Lonchura striata: one gene and its partner. The protein of the gene in region 2 binds, or shares a complex with, the protein of the main gene of each other region. Links are inferred from orthologs where the notes say so. Each region holds a gene or a part of one and is shown on either strand. Other genes may lie near its edges.

Region 1 (7,683 bases), on a different chromosome or scaffold from region 2:
AATCACTGCCTAAAGTGTTATTAGAGCCTCACCATTTCAACTCCGCATTTTGGGTCAGGGCTGCTCACTATAACGCAACTAGTGTTAGCATGTATTGCCAAAATAGTAGAGAAATAGAGAAATCAAAACACAACTACTGTGAATGACCAGTATACCTGTTTCAGGAAGAAAACAGCAAGCACTGAACAACTAACTGCATGAATTACTCCATGCTGGCTTGCTCCTTTTGCTTAAGTCTAAGATGCCAATTTCTAAAGGTCTCAAAGTACTGGAGGAATTCCTTTCACAGAAGACTACTAGATCACTCAGGCAACTAACCCTAAGACTAGTTCCTGAAAGGCTCTGATCCGTCTGCTCTCAGAAACAGAATCTGTTTTCATAATCTAAGCTAGTGTTATTATTAACATGAGAATTGTGCTTCTCATAATTTTTGCACAACTCATTCTTAACCCTTACTACTTGTTTCAGTACCATACAGCCAGAAAACAGTCAGTGTTTAATCATAACAGATCTTTGCTCTTTATAAACCACAGAAAAATACAAAATGCTCCATTTCTTCGAACAACTTTGGAAGAAGCCTTTAATAATTAAATTCTCTAAAACAACACAGGATTCAATCATATTAGTTTCTTAACCACGGAAAACGGTTTAAACAACTAATACTGACTGCCAAAGAAGGTCTGACCACTAAAACATACCAGGAATTTAACCAAAACTAAAAATTAATTCCCAGTTTCAATACAGATTTCATAAATGAAATGTATTACAATGGCCCTGATTTCTGTTATTGTGAACAATTAATGATGGATTCTTCAGCTAAAACACACTGATGTGTCTGTGCACAGCAACTTTTTACAGATCAGAATGGACTCAGTTTACTTGTCAATCAAGAAACATGGTTTACAGCATGTTTACCTCATATAATTGCATTTCAATTCTGTCCAGATGCAAAAGCCTGCTTTGGTATTTTTAATGTCCCTTCCTATGTTTTAGCTGGTTGTGTATCTGTTAGTAGTGGCTCCTGAGAATGAAGACTGTTTCAGAGAATATGCAGAGGGAGGGATGAGAGGTGACCTTCAGAAATCAAACACATGTGTAACTTGTCCATACTACCTTAGCCCAGTACCACAGAAAAACACATTAATGCTATGTTTCCAAGCTCTCCACTCCACTCTGTTCCCAAGATTCTCAAGTATGGCTTCAGGCAGGAATTAAAAATAGGAAGAAAATACTCAAAAGCACAAGATCTTTAATCTTGCTTAAAGATTTAGGACAGCTGTTGCAAAAGTCAAGTGAATTGTATAAACCAGACAGATAAAAAAAATATTGAGCTAACACCTAAGTATATTGTAATACTCAACAGTAAATACAGCAGACTTAGGTAGGAAGTTACACTCTCAAACATAGAATGGATACCCTAAAAATACAATGTAATGCACACAGAATCAAAACTGGTATTACTCAGGCTGAATTTCATGCAAATTTAGCGTGAAAAACTTAAATGCCCCAGAGGCCAAAGCAGTGTTTTGTTTCTCCAAAATTCTTCTGTGTTTGCAAATGTTCTAGAAATACTCCGGACGAAGACCAGAGTTCTGCACAGCAAATTCATGACCCACAACTGGTTTGCTTTTCCTAGGCAATTATCAGCTGGCATTTCTCCCTTCTACTCCCACCCCTCTTCCCAGTATCCTGTAGATCAATAGGAATGAGGACTAAGATGTAAATTAGAAGTGTAAACTAAGACAAGTTTCCATTCAATGACCACAAAGATACTGCACTAACTGCACACAAAATTATTTTAATGCACCTCTGTTAGCACTGTCCTGGCCACAAAGACTGCGGGATATAAACCAGGGAAGTTATCCACAGCTCTTATGTCCTAGAATTGCATCAGCTACTTGGGAAGGAAATCGCCAGCAGACGTTTTTCCTCCCCATAAACAGAAGTACATGGAAATAGCCGTTTCTGTGAAATACATGGTGTGAGGTAAAAACAACAACAACAAAAATCTATTTATCAAGGTGTAGGATAGCTAAAATCAACACGAAAAGTACAGTACCACATACTTCTAAATTACAATATCTGCCCTAGTTACCTTCCTTCTCTTCAAATAGCTGTCTTTAGTCCCTGGATTCCTGCTCAATGGACTAGGGAATTGCACTCTCAATGGCACTTTCGTGTAGACCATTAAAAAGAGAAAGACACGGGAATACTCTTCAGTCCTAGACAATGGGGGACGGTAAGCAAACAGTGCTTACACGCACACTGGGCGGACAGCACCCGCCGCTTCAGCCGCGCAGCAGGAGCGATTCCCCGGGGCACGGCCCAGAGCGGCTCACGGAGCCCAGCGAAGGTGCGCGGGCACGGCCAAGCCACGCGGGAGCACCAGAGCCGTTCTGTGCCGGCCCGGCGGAAAGAGCGCAGGGCCGCCAGCTCCCGCAGCATCCCGGAATCCTGCCTCCCGCGCGCGCTGCCCACGCCCCCGGCCCGCCCCTGCCGCGCCAACACTTCCTGCCCACGCCCAGGGAGCCTCCAGCGCGCTGCCTCCCCTCGCGCCGATGGTTCCTGCCCGGCGCGGCGCTCCCCCCTCCCGGCCCCCGGCAGGATGGTTCCTGCCCGGGCCCATCATCTCCAGCCCTTCCCAACAGTCACTCCCTCCCGCCGCGAAAATACTCGGCCCACAAATATGGCGGCTGACAAAACAGCTCCAGCGGCGCCCTCCCTCCCTCCCCCAGACCGCCGCGCTCGCCTCGCTCCCCGCCCGCCCGCCGCTGCCCTCCCCCGCGGGCTGCCGTGCCCAGTCCGCCCTGCTCTTGCCCCCGTGCCGCTCTCCCGTCCCGCTGCGGCGAGACCCGCCGGCTCCCGGCCCCGTAGCCCCCGCCCGCGGGTCCCCGCCGCCCAACCCGGCCGTACTCACGCTGTGGGAGCCGCCGAGGAGCGGCTGACAGACCTCCCGCTCCGCCGCTGCGGCCGACGCTCGGCCGGGTTAATGGCGGAGGCCCCGCCGGTGCTGCCGCCTGGCCCCGCGTCCGGCAGCCGCGGGCGGCCGAGCGGGCGCTACGAGGGCCGCGCTGCCCGCGGCGGTCACCCGGCGCTGGGTGCGGGGCTGCTGCTGCCGCCGGGCGCGGCGCATTCGTGAGGCGCGGCGCGCGTCGCTGTCCGGCTGCGGGCTCGGCGCTCGGCTCCCGGGGCTGAGCGGCTCCCCTCCCCCCGCGGCACAAACAATGCGGCTTCACCACAGCGCTGCGCCGACGGGGGGGAGGAGGAGAGGCGGGCGGGAGGGAGGGAGCGAGCGAGGAGGGAAGGGACGTGCGGGCGCCAGGCGCCGCCCAGCCCCGCCGCTCCCGCCGCCGCGGGGCGGGGCCTTGCGCGCCGCCGCTCCCCGCGGCCGCGGCCGGCACCGGCCGCGCTCGGGGCGGGAACGCGCCGGTCCCACGACCGCTGCGCTCCCGCCTGGACCGGCCGGGCCCGAGCCCGAACCCGCCGAGCGTCCCTGGTACAACGTTCGAACGGCCCGGCGCGGGGGCCAGGGAACGGATGGAGGCGGGACGGGACTCGTTACAAAACCGAGGCTAGAAAGTTGAAGCGAGTGGTATTTATTATCTCTTTGGGGGGGAAGTCCAAGCTCAAGATTCCTTATGCTGAAAGTAAGCTCCTTCGTGGTCTCTGGGTCAAACTGCTGCTTGTAGATGAACTGATATTAGCCTTACATTTTGACAGAGAAAAAGAAGGTTATTTCTGGCTTCCCCTGCAAAGGACACCCTTTGTTAGGTATTATTTTTAGACAGCCATTACAGCCATATCTGAGAACTGGAGGGTTTTACTGCAATACATTTCTGCAAGGCAGCTGCACCCACATCCTTAGAAAACAAGGTTTAGCTGGCCCTGCCTAACACAAACACTTGCCTGTGCTGATCATCCAAAGCAAGCATATAGTAAAAAACAAGTGATTGAGAGTAGGTGTGATTCTTTTTACCCATCAGTATTTAGCATCCACTCAGCTAAATTGCTGAAAAACAACTTACCCATTCATTTTTGTTTTCTCTAGTAGTAAGAGGTTTCCTTGCCTCAAAAACCAGTAGGTCCTACAATTAATATATGACTAGGGAATCAGAAATAGATACATATGTTATTACTTGTAGAAAGTTAATTGAAGTCCAGAGAGTTTAAGCAACTAGGCTGGAAATCTTGTCGAATATGAAAAGTACTTTCCAAATTCTTTTTATCCTCCTCAGGGACCATTTAGCACACTGATCTCTGAACAAAACAGAAGCTATTAAAGCAGCTAACACTTGTGCAGTTTGCTCAGTGTAGATATAAATCCTTAGGCACAGACACATAAAGTACCTTCAGCTTCCAATACAAGAAAGTTTGTACAAACTATGGAGGCCATCTGGTCATTTGTGTACTTGGCTGTGAGGAACTACTCTCCAGTTAAATTGTTTTAGTGATCCTGTCAGCAGTCTCAGAAGTCTTACAACATGCTGATATAAGTTAGTGTTGTTGCACTGGAATTCAACCTGTGATAGAAACATATTAAAGAGGGATATCATACCATACCTTATCATGTACATTAGTGTGCAGAGTATAAAAATGAATAGAAATAATGTTGTCAAAAACCTATTAAGATTATGATATGAAAATATGCCAGTTTATCTTTTAAGCAATAATTCACGTGTATTTGCTTTGCAGCTGTACAAATACTTTTTTAAGTGGAGACAAGTTTGCCACAGAAACTTTGATGGTGTCCACATTCTAATGCGTCTGACACACAGCAAGTCTGGCTTTTTTCCAGTTTCTTTTTTCTGACAGGTGGACTAAGCATTCCATCATCCTTAGGCATCCCTATGATAACAGGGTATTCCTCATTGGTATTTCCACCATTTGACCACTTTTCTGTAATTTAAACTCATTCTTCTAGATTCTTCCAATTACTCTCATTAAGAAGGTGGTATGTTGAGTTTTTGTTCTGGAGTGTCCAGGCTAGGACACAGACCTCATGTTGTTCCTTCATATGGTATTTCAGAGTAACAGCACAAAGATTAGGGCACACTCAACAAAAAGCTCTCTATTAGGAATCTTAGACTTCAAAATAATTTCATTGACCTTATGACAGGCTACCAAAGCAGGATGCTCAATCTCTTCATTTTAACTATTAGTATATTAGCCTATGCATTTCAAAACAGAGCAGTATGTAGTATTGTCTGGGACATCTGTCCAGTCCCCAGCACATGTGCCTACAACCTAAAAGATCTGCTACCTTCATCTTTTCCACCTCACAAGTGAGATGTGGTTACTCAAAAGAATACAATACTACTAGCATATGGTTCAATTTCAAGCTAAAAATAAGCCCTCTGATCTCTAGCTTGATGGCAACAGACCACTCACCACTGTTTTTCACACCAGTTCAACATGTGCAAGGGGCTTTAGTCCCAGTTCTTCAGAATCCTCACACCCCTACCTGGCAGGATCAAACTGTTAAACAAGTTGCCAATGCTGACTCACTCTGCATGGAAAACTTCACAGAAGGTCTATCTTCTGCCTACCAGCTTTCACCTCCACTAGTTGTCAAATTCTCAACAGAATCACTGCAAGAAAAACCACATAAAGAAACACAATTGCTATTTATCTGCCCCAGCATCCTCCTCTATTTTCTTGTAGAATCAAACTTCATGAGACACATTTCTATGTTTCTAAAGTGTATCACCTTTGTTTCACAGATTAATACAAGTCAACACAACAGTCACTGCAGCAATAAATACTTGCAGAGGTAATGACCTACTTTGGATGCAACTTTGTATCCCTCTCCTGGCCCAGACAGCTATCTGCTGAAAAGACCAGAAGGAATCAGAACTCATGCCCGCTCCTTAGAACCTGCAACAATCTGCATTTCGAGAAAGGTTTTGGACTGCCATAACATACCCGTGTGGGTCTTCTTCCTATCATGATGACAAATCTGCCTAACCTTGAATGTGATATTTCCATATGATGCCCTAAGGTAATGTATCACCAGTAAGTTTTCAAGTTTGGCTTATCCATTATACAATTTACACCTTCACACTCATCTATGACACAACATGACCATGGTCCTCTCATCCTACATGGGAATGCTTTTAGATCTCACTTACTTCATCAGTGATGGTATGTGCCACTGGTAGAATACTTTCAGGCATGACTTTGCAAGTTCACAAAAGAAAGGTTGTTCCCAAACCTCATGGAAGCCAGAACGGCATTCACTGTGGAAAAGATGTAGTAATCTTATCAATAGACATATTATAGCAGTGTGCTCACAGAATTTCAGCTGTTTATTTTCAGTCTGTTGGGTGGTGGTGCAGGATCACTCTGCATCTTCTGGGTGATCTGCAAATTTTTGTATTTACAGGAAAATACACATGATCACTGATCCATCTTCTAGTTATTACTGATATCTTGTAAGAAAGATTGGTACATCATACTAGACTGAGTCCTGGATGACCAGAAGGAAGATCAAATTTTTAGCTTCAAATATATGAAAGAAGTATCCATTTTACTCCTACTTGTTTACTGAATATATTCCTTGATCTGTAGTTAGGAAGATTTGTCTGGACTTTCCTTCTCACTCCTCTGATCTGGATGTTTTAGCTGTATGATGACAATGTATGTTCACCAACTGTTATGGAATCAAGGATGTTTTGTTTCTTACAGCCTCAGTAACTCTTACTTCCTACACATATCACCTTTCTCATTCTCACAGCCAAAGTGGTTCTTTGTTTATGAATTGTTAAGACCCTTTAGTCTGACCCTTCAGAACAAACGATCCAAATGAACAGTCTTCACCAAAACACAAGTTTAAAAACAGACTGGGAGCTGTGTCAGTGCCTTTTATGGTACTGATGAAGGTCCAGAGACGTTTTATCATCAGAGCTCCACCAGAAGTCAAACTTGATCAGGGTGCTTGCAAAGAAATACCTTTGTAAGCTGCATCTGCTGAGCAGTCCTATGGAATGTTATCTATAGATAAGCTAGAAGATCATTTGACAGAGTGGTCTTCAAGTAGTAAAGCTGTTATGCAAAGGCCCTTATCCCATTTCCATTTAAGCATTTGTTGGAGCTACTGCTTGGAGTCACCTACTGCAAGAAGAGGTATGTATCCTGTCACTTGCTGACAGAGAGATACACCAAGTAATTTGCTGAGATATACAATTGACAGCAAATACTGCCTGCTTTACTTATCCACTATTCTGAATCCTTTAACATCATGTACCTTTAGGATTTTGCAATTTTAAGATGCTCTCTACAATATGTGCTCATAACTGTTGCATGGTGGAAGGTGGGGAATGACCTCACTCCTCTGGACACTGCAAAGATGCAAAAACAAACTTCATGATTAGGCTATACATGAAAACATATGTAAGCTATGCTTCAATAATACAAAACAAAAAACCACACACAAATTACATCATGCTGCAACACAAGGACAGAGCTTGCCTGTGTAATGACCTGTAGGTCTGCCAAACAGCAAAACTACCATCTACTAGTTTCAAGACTATTTTATCAAGAACAAAACCTTGGAACAGAACTATTGGCACTCATGTATAATGATATTGCTGTTTCCAAAAGAGTAGACAGAGCCATAATCAAGAGAATAATCTGCTTCTCTTCCATCATTGTCTCTTCAGTATCAATTATTCAAATCCTAGTGTT
Region 2 (7,254 bases):
AAAGACACCATTTTACAAACATTGTCATATATAAGAGCCACCTGGTTTTTTCCTTCTTTGCTTTTAGCATTTTCCTTTGCACTCCCAAATTCTATTCATCCCATTGCTTCTTTAACATGTAGCATAGTTAATGCAGCAAAAAGACTTGTTCCTGCTGAGGTCTGAAATGTGTGTTAACAGGCCAGCAGTTTCTTCTCCACGACCAGCACAGGACCTCTGAAACTGGATCTCTTGTGCCCAGAGTAGAGCCCTTAATACTCAGGTGCCCAGATTTTTCCTGAGGCCAGCATCCTCTTCTAACCACTTTGCTTTACACTTTGTCTATCTCTGGTTGGAGAACAAGAGAAATAACAGTCACCTAACAAAGCTCTTACAGGAACTAATTCATTAAGGATTGTAAAGTACTTTGATATAGCAGTGTGGTATATTTGCCAGAGTAGAAAGGAACATGTGGGATTTATTATAAACAGTCACTGTCTCCATCCCTGTGGGATGACAGCTGATCTACCACAAACACTTATTTCCAAATTACAGTATTATGCCAATTACAACTCCTGAGTTGAAACTGCTATAGCATTTACCTTATAATGTGCTAGTTTCAGGAATTAAAAAACACCAGAATCAGTAAAATGGCAGCAGGAGACTATTTTACACTATTATTCAATTTGATTAAATGGAATAGATGAGACAGCAAATGATCAGAAAACATGCCCACAGGTTACTCACTTTGTGTGTATATAAACATATGAGTGTATATATTAATATAATCTATAGTGCTTAAGTTGGGTGGTGGTGCTCTGTTATGTGCAGCAATGCATATCCTCATACATAAACCAAGAAGCATTCTGCTTGTGCAGAGGAGCAGACATAGTTTCATGGATTAATCTTTCAGATTAAATTAAAATACAAATAGCTGGGGGAAAAGAATATCACAAATGAAAAAAAAAAAAAAAAGGTTGTTTAGTCCAGAAGGAATGTGAGATTGAAGGTAAGCTAAGCAGAGGAGGTTGTTCAGGTAAAGAATTTATGCATTCAGCTCCTACAGGCTGGGATGAAACTCATGGCACTCTTAGGATGACTTTTCTTCCCAGGGTCACTTCTTTCAACAGCATATGCCAGGGGATGCAATTTCCAGGTGACTGTAGTCAAATATGTGGTTGTGTGTGGTAATAATAGAAGGAACATCCTGGCTTGGTTGAAGTCATAGGACGTTTTGCCAGGCTGCGATGGGGGCCAAGATTTTACCCTCCAGCATCTCCAAAGATAAATAGGGATCTGTCACCATACCAACATGGACAACTACATAATTGTTTCTAAATATGTAACAGCCCCACTAGTTCTAATGGAACTGCATCAGTGATTAAAGGCCTCACAGGGAAATTCTTAATATGGCAGTAATTTCATGCACAAGAATTTTCTTACTGATTTCAAGCAAGTGCTCAAACTCTAATTCGGTCTTCTTTTTTGTACACTGATGAATTTATTCTGCACATGTCTGGGCTTTATTTAAGCAGTAGTCTCCAGCATGTCTTACACCACAGCCATACAGCAATTTTCAGATTTTGATTTTTGAGAACTGAATTTAACTGAGACCATGCAGAGCCCTTAACTTCTTGCTTTCTCTCACTTGTGATCAAAAAATAGCAGTGTTAGTGCATTTTTAGAATAATTCTAAGGACTTTTGAGGAGAGACATATGCTTACTACATACTCTACAATATATATGTACAATCATATATATTTTTCCATTGGGGGGGATGTGGGGCAAAAATGCTCTAAATAAGATTATTTAAAATAGAATAAAAACAAAGAGACTAATAGAACAAAGTGAAATGGGCCAAAGTAGATCTTTCTACAAGAATACATGGGAAAGTTATTTTGATTTTAGGTACTCTTGTTTAATATTAAGGACATGATTTTAGCACATGGAATGGGTGTATTCAATGTATAAGTGTTTAGACACCTGTTACTACTTCATCAGTTTGCAAGACTTATGGGAGAAAAATCCCGCAAAGTCTGCCCATGAAAGACATACTTAAGTGTAAATTTTATTGTTTGCACTAACTTCATTGATGGGCTTTTTACATTTCCATAGATATTTTTAATATAGGCTTGAGGGTGTTTTCATACAATAAACCAAAAATATTTCTTATCTAGATGACAAACCAAAATGCTTATAGACATTCTCAGTTAGATCCAAAGCATTCCAGATTTCTCTGTGTAACATGCACTATCTCAAACTGAACTGCACTAAATTGCCATGATGTAGCTCTTTTGAAGTTATAATTTTGGGAAATAGTATAATTTACAGTGACAGTGGATCTGAGTTTGCTGGACGATGATTCATGTATAAAGAGTTCATGTGCTTAACTTCACAGTTTACATAATATCAGGTACACCAGTAAATGTCAAGATCCATAGGAGTTTCTTTGCAAACAAAAGATTCTTGAATATGTTAAAAACTGGAACATAACACCCAATGACATATCATCCTGTAAAATTTATTTTTGGGAAAAGAGTTAAATTGAGAAGAAAGAATGGGATTGTTTAAACCAGAGACTTTTATAATTTTTCTCTGCGTTATTACTTATGTCTTCACGACATACTTGTAATTTCAAAATGGCCAAACATATTATCAAGTTTTCTCCAGTGTTTTGTTTCCTAAGCTGGGATGTGGCCATGCCAAGTTTCAGTTTCAAGAAATTATTTTTATGTTTTTGCCACTAACCAAGTTGTAAATTTCCCGGAAAGAAAAAAAAAAGTTTCTGATGGAAATGTTGACACAACATTCAGAATAGTGTTGCAAATGTGACGCTGTGCTACAAATTGTGCTGAAATGATTTATAACATTTCCAATAATTTAAAAACTATTTTAAATCACAGCCAGGTCCTGCATAATGCATGAACCTTGACGGATTCTCCAACAAGTATTAGGTCACTACACATTTCAATTTCCCTCTTTATGTTTAAAAGGCTGCATCTGGCAGTTAAAAGACTAAAACCTCAGTCAATGGTTATGGTGTGATAGATACATGCTGGAATATTATTTTCACCCGGTAGCTTTCTTTAAGTAGGTCATACAATTTTACAGTGCTCTGAAACATCACCAAAGAGCTTCCTTACACAGTATCTCGAGCAAGTGACTCTGAAAGAAGTTGCAGTAAACCTTAATGCTTTTTTTTATTGTTATGGAAACTTTGTTTCCTTACTAGTCTACATGCAGTGCATCATCTAGGGAAGATCTTAATTTATTGTAGAAGGTAATTTTCCACCCACTCTTAAGGATATTTTTTAGAATTTTACTTTTATATTTTCTTATTCAGGACCAGATATTTTTAGAAAACTTTGCAGGCAGGCACCTAACTTAACATGTCATCCACAAGATGTGGAAAAGAGGATGTTGAGGAGACATCTGGAACAATCATGATTCAAGTTTGGGAACATGAGGGATATCTAGCTGTGTCTGCTTGAGTGGATGCTCAGGTAGGTACTCTGCCTTTCCCTCCCTTTTGTGGTACCCTATGGGATGTATCCCATGGTATTTTGTCATGCCATGCTTGGGTAAAAAGTGATGTTTGGGTGAAAAGTGCTGTTTGCTGGCCGTTGGTGAGAAAACCATCACAAGGAGTATTAAAACCCAGGAGTAGAACTCGATGGTTGTGATGGGTCCCTTCCAACTCAGCATATTCTGTGATTACTGAAAACTTTGACATGGTGAGAGGCCTTTGGCAGCGCCGGTCAAGACAGCGCGGAGAAAGCCGAGCTTTAAGTCCATACGTGTTATCACCTTGTTCTTTTAAACATATTCCTCGGAACATCTTGTTACATGTACGAACTCAATGGGAGGACAACATCTGTGATTAGTTCACGCTGCTTCCACCCCTCAGACTAATTGTGGCAGCTCCAGCACAGCCCCCTTGCCCCGGCCCGGGGGAGTGCCGAAGCCCAAGGGCTGCCTGCGGGGTGCTGCCCCCGGCGCCGCTCCAGCCGCCCCGCGGAGGACGGAGAGCGCAGCGCGACCCCCGAGGGCGGCCGCGGGCCCCGGGAGGCGCCGGCGGCCGCTTCCCCGCAGCCGCCTTCCCGCCCAGGGGACGCGCCGCCCCACAAACTTTATCGCCTTTCCCCCTTTCTCCCTTTTTTATTTTTTTTTAATTTTTTTTTTTTTTTTTTTTTTTTTTTGAGGGAGAAAAGGTGGGGGGGAGCTCAATTTCCCACTTGCCAACAGCAGATAAAAAAGTGGGGAGGGACCTCTTCTGTCACAGCCTATGTAGATTAACCTTTCAATTAGCTGTTATCAGGTCCTGTGTCTTAGCACCAGTCCTCGCAATCTGCGTCCGCCCGCACCGGGGAGGCTGGAGGTCTGGGGTGGGTTTCTGTTTTAATTTCTAAATTAATGATAATTGCTCGCGTGGCTCCCCTCCCCCGCCGAGAGCTGAACGCGTGTGTCTGATCTGCCCGTCCACCTTTTAGTATTTTGGAGTGAGAAGAGGAGCCCCGCGGAGGAGGAGGAGGAGGGGAGACAAGGTATTCTCTCTGTATTCATCTTCTTTTTTCCCCTCTCGCGGAGGGGCTTAGGGAAGGTAACTGGTGCAATCAATCCGCTGGCTGGGGATTCCCTCCACCCCCTCCCCGGCTCGTCTGGCTCTCCTGGCTGGGTCTCTTCAGTGTGTATGTGTTTGGGGAAGGGGGTGGGGGGAGGCTGTGTTGTTGTTGTGTTCCTGGCTCTGCTTGCAGCCAGGAGAGAGAGCGAGCGGGCGAGCGAGAGACAGAGCGGAGAGAGCGAGCGAGCGAGAGAGAGAGAGGAGCCGCGATCGCGTTTCAGGGGCAGCACATTCCGCAGGAACCGCTGCTGCAGAAACACACACGGGCAGAGAAAGGAGGTCATTGCAAGCAAAGGGGGGAACCTGCATCGGAGGTTAGATTCCCAGGAGTTTATGCGGGGGATAATAGGGAGCATGCGATGGGGTTTGTTTTGCATTGGGTGACAGGCTGCAATTTGCCATAATAACCCCCTTTCCCTCCCCTCTCCCAGCGCAGGGGGCTTGTCACTAGGCTGGGTACTTTTTTTCCTTTAGCATCGGAGGCTGATGCACGTGTTTGCAGACACTTGCGCTGGGTAAATGCATTGCAATGCTCTGCGTTTTGCAGGGGAGGGGGAGCAGCAGCAGGGGGTGATGGCTGGGTTGGATGGGGTGGGGAGAGGGGGAATGGAGTGGCGGAGGGAAGCAGGGGATGGCTGAGGTTTTTGTGTTGCATGTTCCCACCCTGTCTTTCTGAGGCGGCAATTGTTCCTTCGCAGACGGGGTGACAGAGAAGTCCCTGGTGCTTCGCATGGCGAAACTTGCAGGGACCTGCATGTGGCTGCAGAGCCGGGAGTCATTGTCGTCGTCCCCGTTCCCACTCCCTCCTCCCTCCCCCGGCGGTGCGGGGTGTGCGCGATAAGCGGCTGCCAGTCCAGGCACCTTGGGAGGTGATGCTGGGCGCATGCTGCTCCATCTCGCCCGCCCGGGCGAGCGCCAGCCGCTGAGGCGCGCGCGACGCTCAGTATTTAAGGCGGCTCATTAGTGTGTGTCGCGCGCCCGCCCGCCCTGCCGAGCTGGCTCAGGCGGCCGCCGCCGGTGTCTCGGCAGCGCTCGCGCTCCCGAACAAACTTCGGGAGCGAGCGGGTGGGGCGGTGGCGGGGGCTGGGGAGGCCGAGGGTGGGGGGTGGCGGACGGGCGGCAGCGGCGGCCAACGGGAGGGTGGGATGGCGAGGAGTCCCGCCGCCGCTCCCGGCGGCTGGCCAATCGCGAGCGCCCCGGGGCCCGGCGGTGAGGCGGGCGGGCGGGGCGCGCCAGTGTGTGGCGGCGGCGGCGGCCAGTGTCAGCCGCCGGCCCCGCCCCCTCCCGCCGGTGGGCGGTGCTGAGCGCGCCGGGAAGGGGCGCGCCGCGTGAGTGACGGGCGGCGCCCGCCAATGGGAGCGCCGGGCCGGTTGCTGGGCGGGCCCGGCCCGGTGTGGGCGGGCGGCGGCAGCCCCCCCCCGGCCCGTGAGCGCGCAGCGGCGTGCGCGGCGCGGGCCAATGGCGGGCGGCGGTGGGCGGGGCGCGGGGTAGGTAAGGTTTTAATGAGCCTCCATTGGGCTGTAATCAGTGTCATGTCGGATTCACGTTAAGTACAACGGGGCGAGACAAAATGGCGGCGTAGGTGCGCCGAGCCGCGCGGGGCGGTCGCGGCGGCCGCGGGCAGCGCGGAGCGGGGCAGGCGGCCCGGCGCGGCCCGGCGGCGGGAGCGGCGGAAGAGCCGGCAGCAGGGGGAGCCGCTGCGGCGCCCGGAGGAGGCTCCTCCCCCGCCGAGGTGAGTGGTACCGGGGGGGTCTCACCTGCCTCCCGCGGGGGACGCGCGGCCGCCGCCCCCGGCCCCGCCCGGCGCCCCGCGGGTGCGCGCACGGCCCGGGCTGCCCTGCCGCGGGTCGCCGTGCCCGGGGGCTGAGCCCGCGGGCCGGGGCTCCTGCCTCGGCGATGGCAAACCCCGGAGCAGGGCGGGCAGGGCGCAGAGCCAGCCCCGGCTTGGCCCCTTCGAATGCAACAATGCCTTGGCCCGAGGCTCTGGGCGTTGCACATCTCCGTGGCTGGGCTAGTGCTGCAAAAACCTTAAGTAAGTTGGGGAGGGGAATAGTCCAGCTTGGCGGTGCCACGTTTTGGAAGTGATGTTCACATTGTGTGTTCTTTGCCCGGACCTCACCTCTCATACTCTGTCACTGAGCATTGAAAATAACCCCCTCTGGCAAGAGCAGACGGATACCCACCCCTGCTGTTGAAAACCACTATCTCAAGAAGAAATGTTTTCAGTTCACCTTTTTCCAGGTGAACTCTTGGCAGTGAATATTACCTTTCCGTATTTCCTGCGGTTCTCTAGTACTGTATTTTAAAGTACTCAGAACTTCCACAGGAGAAGGTGGGAAAGGTGAATTTGGGTGATTTTGCTGCTGTCATGTTGTGCTGATGCTGCTTCCTCTGGTGGCGCTTGCTGCTGTCATGTTGGGAAACGATTTTAAGCAGATGATCTCGAAGAAGCTTGTGGGGTATCTCAGAGCACAAGCACTTCCATCAGTTTGTTTCACATGTGCCACTCTTCTCTCCACATCCACGAGTCTTTAGTGCAGTTTTGAAGTTACTGTAGTGTATACATCTGTCTTTTTAAAGCATATAGATGTGTCATTGCTTTTTCTTAAATTTGGAAAGCATATTGTGTGTAAAGAATAATAGAGTAGCTGAGC

What was found. Proteins that work in one complex are often made in the same cells at the same time.
Region 1: KAT6B (region 2) and BRD1 share a complex: the UniProt entries of both Homo sapiens proteins name them as parts of the MOZ/MORF complex. The link is inferred for Lonchura striata from reciprocal best matches to the Homo sapiens genes KAT6B and BRD1.

What each region holds. Positions count from the first base shown.
Region 1 is NC_134607.1:28,520,384-28,528,066, forward strand, and holds the start of BRD1 (bromodomain-containing protein 1), read right to left. Parts: upstream 3,037-7,683; 5' UTR 2,918-3,036; intron 1-2,917. UniProt on the Homo sapiens protein: Scaffold subunit of various histone acetyltransferase (HAT) complexes, such as the MOZ/MORF and HBO1 complexes, that acts as a regulator of hematopoiesis.
Region 2 is NC_134609.1:11,669,627-11,676,880, reverse strand, and holds the start of KAT6B (histone acetyltransferase KAT6B), read left to right. Parts: upstream 1-4,181; 5' UTR 4,182-4,364; exon of another isoform or gene 4,365-4,469; 5' UTR 4,470-4,523; intron 4,524-4,639; exon of another isoform or gene 4,640-4,667; intron 4,668-4,683; exon of another isoform or gene 4,684-4,914; intron 4,915-6,227; exon of another isoform or gene 6,228-6,332; intron 6,333-7,254. UniProt on the Homo sapiens protein: Histone acetyltransferase which may be involved in both positive and negative regulation of transcription. Required for RUNX2-dependent transcriptional activation. May be involved in cerebral cortex development.